Linked DNA regions of Mus musculus. The protein of the gene in region 2 binds, or shares a complex with, the protein of the main gene of each other region. Links are inferred from orthologs where the notes say so. Each region holds a gene or a part of one and is shown on either strand. Other genes may lie near its edges.

Region 1 (3,649 bases), on a different chromosome or scaffold from region 2:
AGCACTCTGGAAGTCCTGAGATGTTATACATGTGTAATTTCTTAAGAGTTTGATCATAAAGGCAGTAAAGCCGGGCTTTAGGGAAAACCAGCTGTCATGGAGAGTACCAGGTTCATTCATGTATTGTTCACTCTCTCCGCAGACAGGTATAAAAATCTCCCCACAGCCTCCCGGAAACTGCAGTTCCTGGAGCTACAGAAGGACCTGGTAGATGATTTCAGGATCCGGTTAACGCAGGTGATGAAGGAGGAGACGAGAGCGGCCCTGGGCTTTCGGTACTGTGCGATTCTCAATGCCGTGAACTATATCTCAGCAGTGCTGGCAGACTGGGCTGACAATGTTGTGAGTTAATGTGCTTTTATAGGAAATAATTTATTAGTACCTTTATCTCCTTTAGCCTTTCAAATGTTGACTTTGCTGCAAGCCAAAAAATTACATGTTAGACTGTGTCTCTGTGACTGGCTGTGACTGTGTGGCTGTGGCTCTAACTGTGACTGGCTGTGACTTTGACTGTGTAACTGTGACTGTGTGACTGTGGATATGGATGTGGATGTGACTGTGTGGCTGTTGCTATGACTGTGTGACTGTGGCTGTGACTATAGCTGTGACTGTGACTGTGTCTCTGGATGTGACTGTCACTATGGCTGTGACTATGATTGTGTGGCTATGATGGTGGCTGTGACTGTGTGGCTGTGACTGACTGGCTGTGACTGTGGCTATGTCTGTGACTGTGCGGCTGTGACTGTGGCTATGACTGTGTGGCTGTGACTGTGTGACTGTGACTGGTTATGGCTGTGACTGTGTGACTGTGGCTATGATTGTGACTGATAGTGTCTGTATCTGGTTGTGTCTCTGGCTGTGACTGTGGCTGTGACTTTGTGGCTCTGGCTGTGACTTTGGCTGTGTCTCTGGCTGTGACTGTGTGACTGTGACTGTGTCTGTGTGGCTGTAACTGTGTCTGTGTCTCTGACTGTGTCTGTGTCTCTGGCTGTAACTGTGACTGTGTGATTGTGGCTGTGATGGTGGCTGAGACTGTGTGACTGTGGCTGTGGCTGTGTGGCTGTGGCTGTGTGGCTGTGGCTAAGACTGTGACTGTGTGGCTGTGACTGTGTCTGTGTCTATGTGGCTGTGACTGTAGCTGTTTCTCTGACTGTGTCTGTGTCTCTGGCTATAACTGTGACTGTGTGATTGTGGCTGTGATGGTGGCTGAAACTGTGACTGTGTGACTGTGGCTGTGTGACTGTGGCTGTGACTGTGTGGCTGTGACTGTGTCTGTGTCCATGTGGCTGTGACTGTGGCTGTGTTTCTGTCTGTGTCTCTGGCTGTAACTGTGACTGTAGCTGTGTCTCTGGCTGTGACTGTAGCTGAGACTGTGGCTGTGTGGCTGTGGCTGTGTGACTGTGGCTGTGACTGTGTGACTATGGCTGTGTGGCTGTGACTGTGTGACTGTGTGGCTGTCTGTGTGACTATGGCTGTGTGGCTGTGACACTGTGACTGTGTGACTGGCTGTGACTGTGTGGCTGTGGCTGTGACTATGTGGCTGTGACTGTGTGACTGGCTGTGACTGTGTGACTGTGGCTGTGTGGCTGTAGCTGTGACTGTGGCTGTGACTGTGACTATGTGACTGTGGCTGTGACTGTGTGACTATGGCTGTGGCTGTGACTGTGTGACTGTGACTGTGGCTGTGGCTGTGACTGTGTGGCTATGACTGTGTGACTGTGGCTGTGGCTGTGACTGTGACTGTGTGGCTGTAACTATGTGACTGGCTGTGATTGTGACTGTGTGGCTGTGACTGTGTGACTGTGCCTGTGTGACTGTGGCTGTGACTGTGGCTGTGACTGTGACTGTACTAACTGAGTTCTGGCCTTGATGGTGCTGATTTGTCTTCACAGCAAGTCCTCCAGCCACCCTTACAGTGCTTCATCAAAGGTCTGTTCCCACACAAGTCCAGATGCAGAGAAGAGAACGGCAGCTTACCTTCCTTTGTTTCTGATTGGCTGTTGATAACCATTTGTTGTTGGGCCATGCCACTCCCAAATTGTCCAACCTCTCAGAATTTTCTTTTCAGTTGTCTGTGACAGAACTCCAGTTTTACTGTCGGTGATAAGTGCAGGCAGGGTGTGTGTAATGAATAGACTGGGCATGCCCACTCCACAGGTCATCTCTGGTTGCATTCTCAGGCACTTCCTGGACATGTGGCCATCGGTAACTCTGGGCTGACTACTACAAAAATGACATTTTAGTTCTCTGACTGTCAGAACTCCAGGTTTCTGACAGCCTTCAGTCTGTGTTTAGAAAAACTGAATACTTAAAGGAACATGCTCACTAGCAGAAAAATACAGTATCAAAAATAAAAAATACTGCAGTGAGAAAAAGAAACTGGCAGGGGAGGCACACCCCTGGCTTCTGAGCAGTGGTGGCACAGGCAAAAGGGGTGCCACACCTTCAAGACCAGCTCTATCTGCAGAGCCCCAGGCCAGCCGAGACTACATAGTACCACAGAAAAGAGTGCACACCAAGCACTTGGGAGGCTGATGTAGGCTGGCCATGAGTACAAAGCTACACTGAACTACTCATTTGTCAGCCTCAACTACACAGCAAGATTCAGTCTCCAACCAAAACAAAACCCTCACACATCAAAACCCAACCCAGACTGAAGCAACAAACCTGCTCTGTGCAGGCAGAGCTTCAGACCTCTGGCTATGGCTGGTGGTGACTTAACTGCTGCAGCTTCTGGGCGAGGCAGCCTGGCAGCTCTTAAGACGGTGGGTGGAGTTACAAGTCCAACAGTTCCATTCCTCAGGACAGACAAAGACAAAGGAACACACTTTTTACAGAAAAATGCACATATTAGTCTAAGCAACATTATGCACAATAGATACAAAATGGAAACAGTCCAAACGTGTATCAGCTAGCGAATGTATAAAATGTATGGTCCTGTGATGTACTGGGGGGCAATAAAAGCATGAAGTACATACTTAGAACATGCTATGGCACTAAGAGAGGAGCTGGTCATGAAGAATAGAACTTCATATGGTTCCATTTTCTTGAGACGTCCATGATCATTGAATCCATAAACAGTAGATTAGTGACTGCCTGGAGTTGGAGGAGTGGGCACAAAATGGAGATAGACATGAATGAGGATTTTGTAGGGAGGAAGTAATGGCAGTGCTCTAGAGAAATGGTGGATGCACAGCTCTGAGTTACTACAGCCACTTAGTTGTAAAAATGATTTATACTGTGCATGCGTATGTGTGTGTCACGGCACACATGTTGAGATCAGAGGACAACTTGCAGAGCTTGGCTCTGTCTTTCCACCATGTGGGGTTCAGGACTAAAGCTTCAGGGCGTCAGGCTTAGTGACAGCGCTTCTGTGCACTGAGCCATCACACTGGCCCTTAGTGACAGTGCTTCTGTGCACTGAGCCATCACACTGGCCTTTAGTGACAGTGCTTCTGTGCACTGAGCCGTCACAGTGGCCCTTACAGTGCTTCTGTGCACTGAGCCGTCACACTGGCCCTTAGTGACAGCGCTTCTGTGCACTGAGCCATCACACTGGCCCTTAGTGACAGTGCTTCTGTGCACTGAGCCATCACAGTGGTCCTGAGCTGCATGTTTGATTTTGAGGGAGATGAAAGCTTTTATGTTT
Region 2 (4,445 bases):
TCTCTCATGCACTCTCTTACACACACACACACACACACACACACACACACACACACACTTCCATGCACGCAGCTAGGCACACCACGGAAGAAAAGTCTGAAGAACGTCATCTCTAAGTTGCAAAATAAAGAAAATTCTATTAAAATATGTCGGTATTTATACTTTCAGTTTTTTCTACAATTATTTTGATCAGTTATATATATATTTTCTAAATAAACCAAGACTTCATTTATGATTATGAAAATTGAATACATTAGAACTTATATAAAATCACAGCTAGCCACAAATTTTCTATTTCTTTAAATTGAATTTTCTCTTCATAAGGAACTCAGATGTAAATTGAGGACGGCCTTCAAGGCCCGAAGGCAGGTAGTTACATTCCCAAAGAACACTGTGGCCAAGTCCCCACAGCCAACCATTACAGCAGAGGGCTGGAGAGCTGCCTCAGTGCCGAGGAGCACTGGCTGCCCTTGCACAGGACCTAGGTTTGGTTCCCTCCCAGCACACTCATGATGGCTCACAAACACCTATAACTTCAGCTCCATGGGATTCTACATCTCTTCAAATCTCCATGGGTTCCGGCACACATCTGGTACACACGCATGTATGTACTTAGGCACACACACACATGCATACATATAATATGTAATAAATAAATATAAAACAACACTTAACTTGTCAGCCTAGAAGAACTATATCAATCTGTTAATTAATATTATAAAGCCCTCATGGTTCAATAAGGCTGATGCTCAACTCTTTTTCAGACTCCTCCTGGTTCATAGGTAAAGTGCATAGTTGTGAAAGGAGAAAAACCTGTCTATGAACTATATAATACATAAAATGCAAGGCCTCTTTACCTCTGATTGCTTTTGTGATGATGAATGATGCACCGTGCTTTCGGTTGCCTCTGAGCTAAAATAAAATAAATAAATAGATAAAAACTTACAGTTGAGAATTTTATAATACTTGAAACATTTAAATTTATGCTTCTCTACTTATATCCAGAGCACTGAATACCAGCATCAGTATTTTAAAACTTCTTACAGGTTGCAATATGAACTGTGTGTAGTAGCAATAAGAGTGAGAATTATGTTCATAGATCCCTGTCAGGAAGAACCCCAAGGTGAGGTTAGAAACAGTTTCCACATCAAAACACCAATGAAAAGAGAAGGAACCACAGGGGCAGAGCTGAGCTGTGTGGTAGAGAACTTGCCTATGACGTTCAGGGGCCTGGGTTTGAACAAAGACAATACTAATTGCCCAGTCAATGCAGTCTATAGGGCAGGCACAGAGACCTAAAACAGATTTCACTAAGAGGAAAAGTGATTACCTATTGTGTATCCATGGAGACAATGTTATTAACAAAACACAGATATGTAACTACTACAGTAATTAATTTGAGTCCACAAACGTAAACTGAATGGCACTGTCTGTAGAATAAAGAATAACAAATACAGTGAGTAGAGTGCTTTCAAGTTCTACCAAGAATAAAATGAATAAGTAATCAGTAAGAACAGATACGTTACTCCCTAGGACGCTCGCTTAACAAACATGAAGGAATCATCAGGGAACAATTTGGCACAGTGGAGGGATATAAAGTTGATCCCAGGCAGAGCTTATAGGGCAACAGCTGTAGGAAACAGATGTAGAAATCAATAAAGAAGGCAGATAAGAAAAGGCAGAGGACAACGAGATTTCAATATAAGTTGACTCCGTGTTGTTTTTTTAATCAACGTATAGTGCTAAGCATTGAGACAGTATTACAGACATTTCTGAAATGCTAGATATCTTTATCCAACTTAAAGGCGGCAGCAGCCTCTCAATTTCATCATCTACAAAATGTCCACGTCACTCACTAGAAACCGAAACGAATAACAATATATGCAGCTTTTTGCCATTACAAGACCTAATTGAAGACAAGCAGAATAAATACTCAGAAGACAAGGTAAAGGAGCTCACTGGGCCAGATTTAAGAGTCTTCCTAGCCATGCTGCTTCCCCAGGGCCTAACACACGGGCATGCCAGGCACTTGATACCATGTATGTCAAGTAAATGGGCCTTGGGCTCCTGCTTTCACCCTATGACCCGAAGGCTTTCCCTAGGAAACTAGTAACTCCAGGGTCCATAAGTTGGCAAACACCACAACTTTGTCTCCAGCAGAATTGGAGAACCGCTGCTTCTTTCTCTCCACTCCCTTGGCATTCTACTCAGCCAGCACTTCGGGCTTGGTAATGAGAAACGTTCACTGGATTGGCTATCTCTCCTCCACACTGCAAGTTCCATGAAAACACTGTCTCTGAATGCCCAGCAGCCTGCACCATATCTGGGGTCCGAGTGTGTGTGTGTGTGTGTGTGTGTGTGTGTGTGTGTATCACACACACACACTGAGAGAGACAGAGACAGAGAGAGACAGAGACAGAGAGAGACAGAGACAGACAGACACACACACACACTAGTAAATGCGTATTACTGAGACTTTTAAAGGACGATAGAGTCCTGCGAAATTCTCCCGCCACAGGTAACAAGATTACAAGGCAAGTCCGGATATGACAAGGACCTAGGGAAGAAGAGTGACACTGACCTGCCGAGAGGGTGACAGCCTGAGTGGGGATACACAGCCGAATTCGGAGCCAAGGCTGACTACAGACACCCTTCAGCGAGCCCTGGACCCGGCAGCCCCGCCGTTGCCAGGAGACAACACAGCTGCTATCCCCGCTCCACTTGCACTGCGTGGCACCGCGACGTGGCTTTACACGCCCCGCGCCCGCGCCCGCGCCATGCCTACAGCCTTAAAAAGAGAGCCCGGCTCACCTGCACTTCTGTCTCAGGTGGCCATTCGGTATTGACCAGCAAGTCATAGAGAATCGTCTCCTCCTCGTCCGCAGAGCCGGGACTCAAAGCCGGCGCTGACTCGGGGGCCGCCATGTTGGCCGGGAACAGAGTGGTGGAGGGAGGGGCACTACGGCGACTCGCGCGGGTCATACTTTCCTGGACGCGGCCGCTGGTGATTGGCAGAGTGAAATGAATTAAGTGCGGAAAGGGAATGCTAAAAATGACAGAAAGGGAATGCTAAACTTGACAGATCTGTGGGTCTAAGAATGGCCTTGTCTTGTATGAGATATGTCTTGGACCCTGGTCCACTTTTTGTTCATTTGTGCCTGAAATGAGTCAAGTCACTGAACTTTTCTTACCCAGTCAGCGTCTACGAAGCTGCAAGAACCTCCCAGAGTGCTGGTGTTCATGTACAGATTCTTCTGCAAACACAGAACGTGTTCGGAGAGTGGACTTTAAATGTACCAAGGGGTTATTCAGTTCACAGGAAGGGTGCTTTAGGCACCTAGAAAAAAACAGTGAGGCTGATGAAGACACCCTGTAACAAGGAGAGCTTGTCAGCTGTGTAAGAGAGGATGTCCTAAAAATCACCATACAACATGGACTAGCCTCAGACCCAGTCCTCCTGCCTCAGACCCAGTCCTCCTGCCTGAGCCTCCCCAGTGCTCAGAGTACAGAGATGTGCCATCAGGCCCAGCCCTGGGCCTTCAACTATAGGTAGAAATTGGGTTCACTGGAAGTCAGGAGAGAATATATCAGTTAGGAGGTGCACAAGACATAGGAAGATTACGTTGCTATAACAGACAGGGTGAATAGAGAGGCCAAGCTGAGAAAGGGTGTGGAGGACGATAAAGATAGGGCAGCTTGAGGATTCCCTAGAGGGGAAACTTACCTCATTTGCTTGCTCGTTTATTCATTCATTCATTCATTCATTCATTCATTCAGCATATGCCTGTCTTTGCAAGGCCCTTTAGTGTAAGCAGAGCCAATTACGACCAAGACGACCACATTGTTGTTGAGTTGAAAAGAAGTGAAAATTCACAAGATACCTTTCAGAAATTATCCTGTAGAATAACCAACTTAGTGCATTAGGCAATGGTATAATAAAATGCACAACTGGAGCGTGTCTAATTGTTCCCATGTCTCTCCAAGTTCATCTGCACCTTGTACTCTCACAGCTAAACTTTTGCCACACACACACACACACACACACCATTCAACTTTGCTGTTTCTAAGACAACAGACACACATAAACATCAGGAGATCTGACACGGATGTTCTTTGTACACAGAGGTTGTACCTGATGTGGCTCTGCTATTGCTCTCTCATCTCCTTCCGGTTGTAGTTTAAATGCCACCTTCCCTCCGAACTCTTGTTCCTGTCTAAGTTCACACTCACTTTCTTCCCACTCCAGCTTCCCAGCCCTCCCCGTGCCTGCTCAGGTTGTCTGTTTGTTTGTCTGCTTGTGTGTTTAACACAACATTTGTTATCATTGGATATGCTATGTGATGTATAATTTATTTTACTTGTGTACAGTCTGTCCTCATCCTCCAAAAATGTAAACTCTAGCCCAGAAGAATGCAACGTCGTCAGGTATAATAGATTCATTTCAC

Evidence for each region.
Region 1: Nbas (region 2) and Rint1 share a complex: the UniProt entries of both Homo sapiens proteins name them as parts of the NRZ complex. The link is inferred for Mus musculus from reciprocal best matches to the Homo sapiens genes NBAS and RINT1.

The regions. Positions count from the first base shown.
Region 1 is NC_000071.6:23,811,568-23,815,216, forward strand, and holds part of Rint1 (RAD50-interacting protein 1), read left to right. Parts: intron 1-142; coding exon 143-342; intron 343-3,649. UniProt on the Homo sapiens protein: Involved in regulation of membrane traffic between the Golgi and the endoplasmic reticulum (ER); the function is proposed to depend on its association in the NRZ complex which is believed to play a role in SNARE assembly at the ER.
Region 2 is NC_000078.6:13,267,631-13,272,075, reverse strand, and holds the start of Nbas (neuroblastoma-amplified sequence), read right to left. Parts: upstream 2,950-4,445; 5' UTR 2,926-2,949; coding exon 2,812-2,925; intron 2,756-2,811; exon of another isoform or gene 2,582-2,755; intron 913-2,581; coding exon 858-912; intron 1-857. UniProt on the Homo sapiens protein: Involved in Golgi-to-endoplasmic reticulum (ER) retrograde transport; the function is proposed to depend on its association in the NRZ complex which is believed to play a role in SNARE assembly at the ER. Required for normal embryonic development.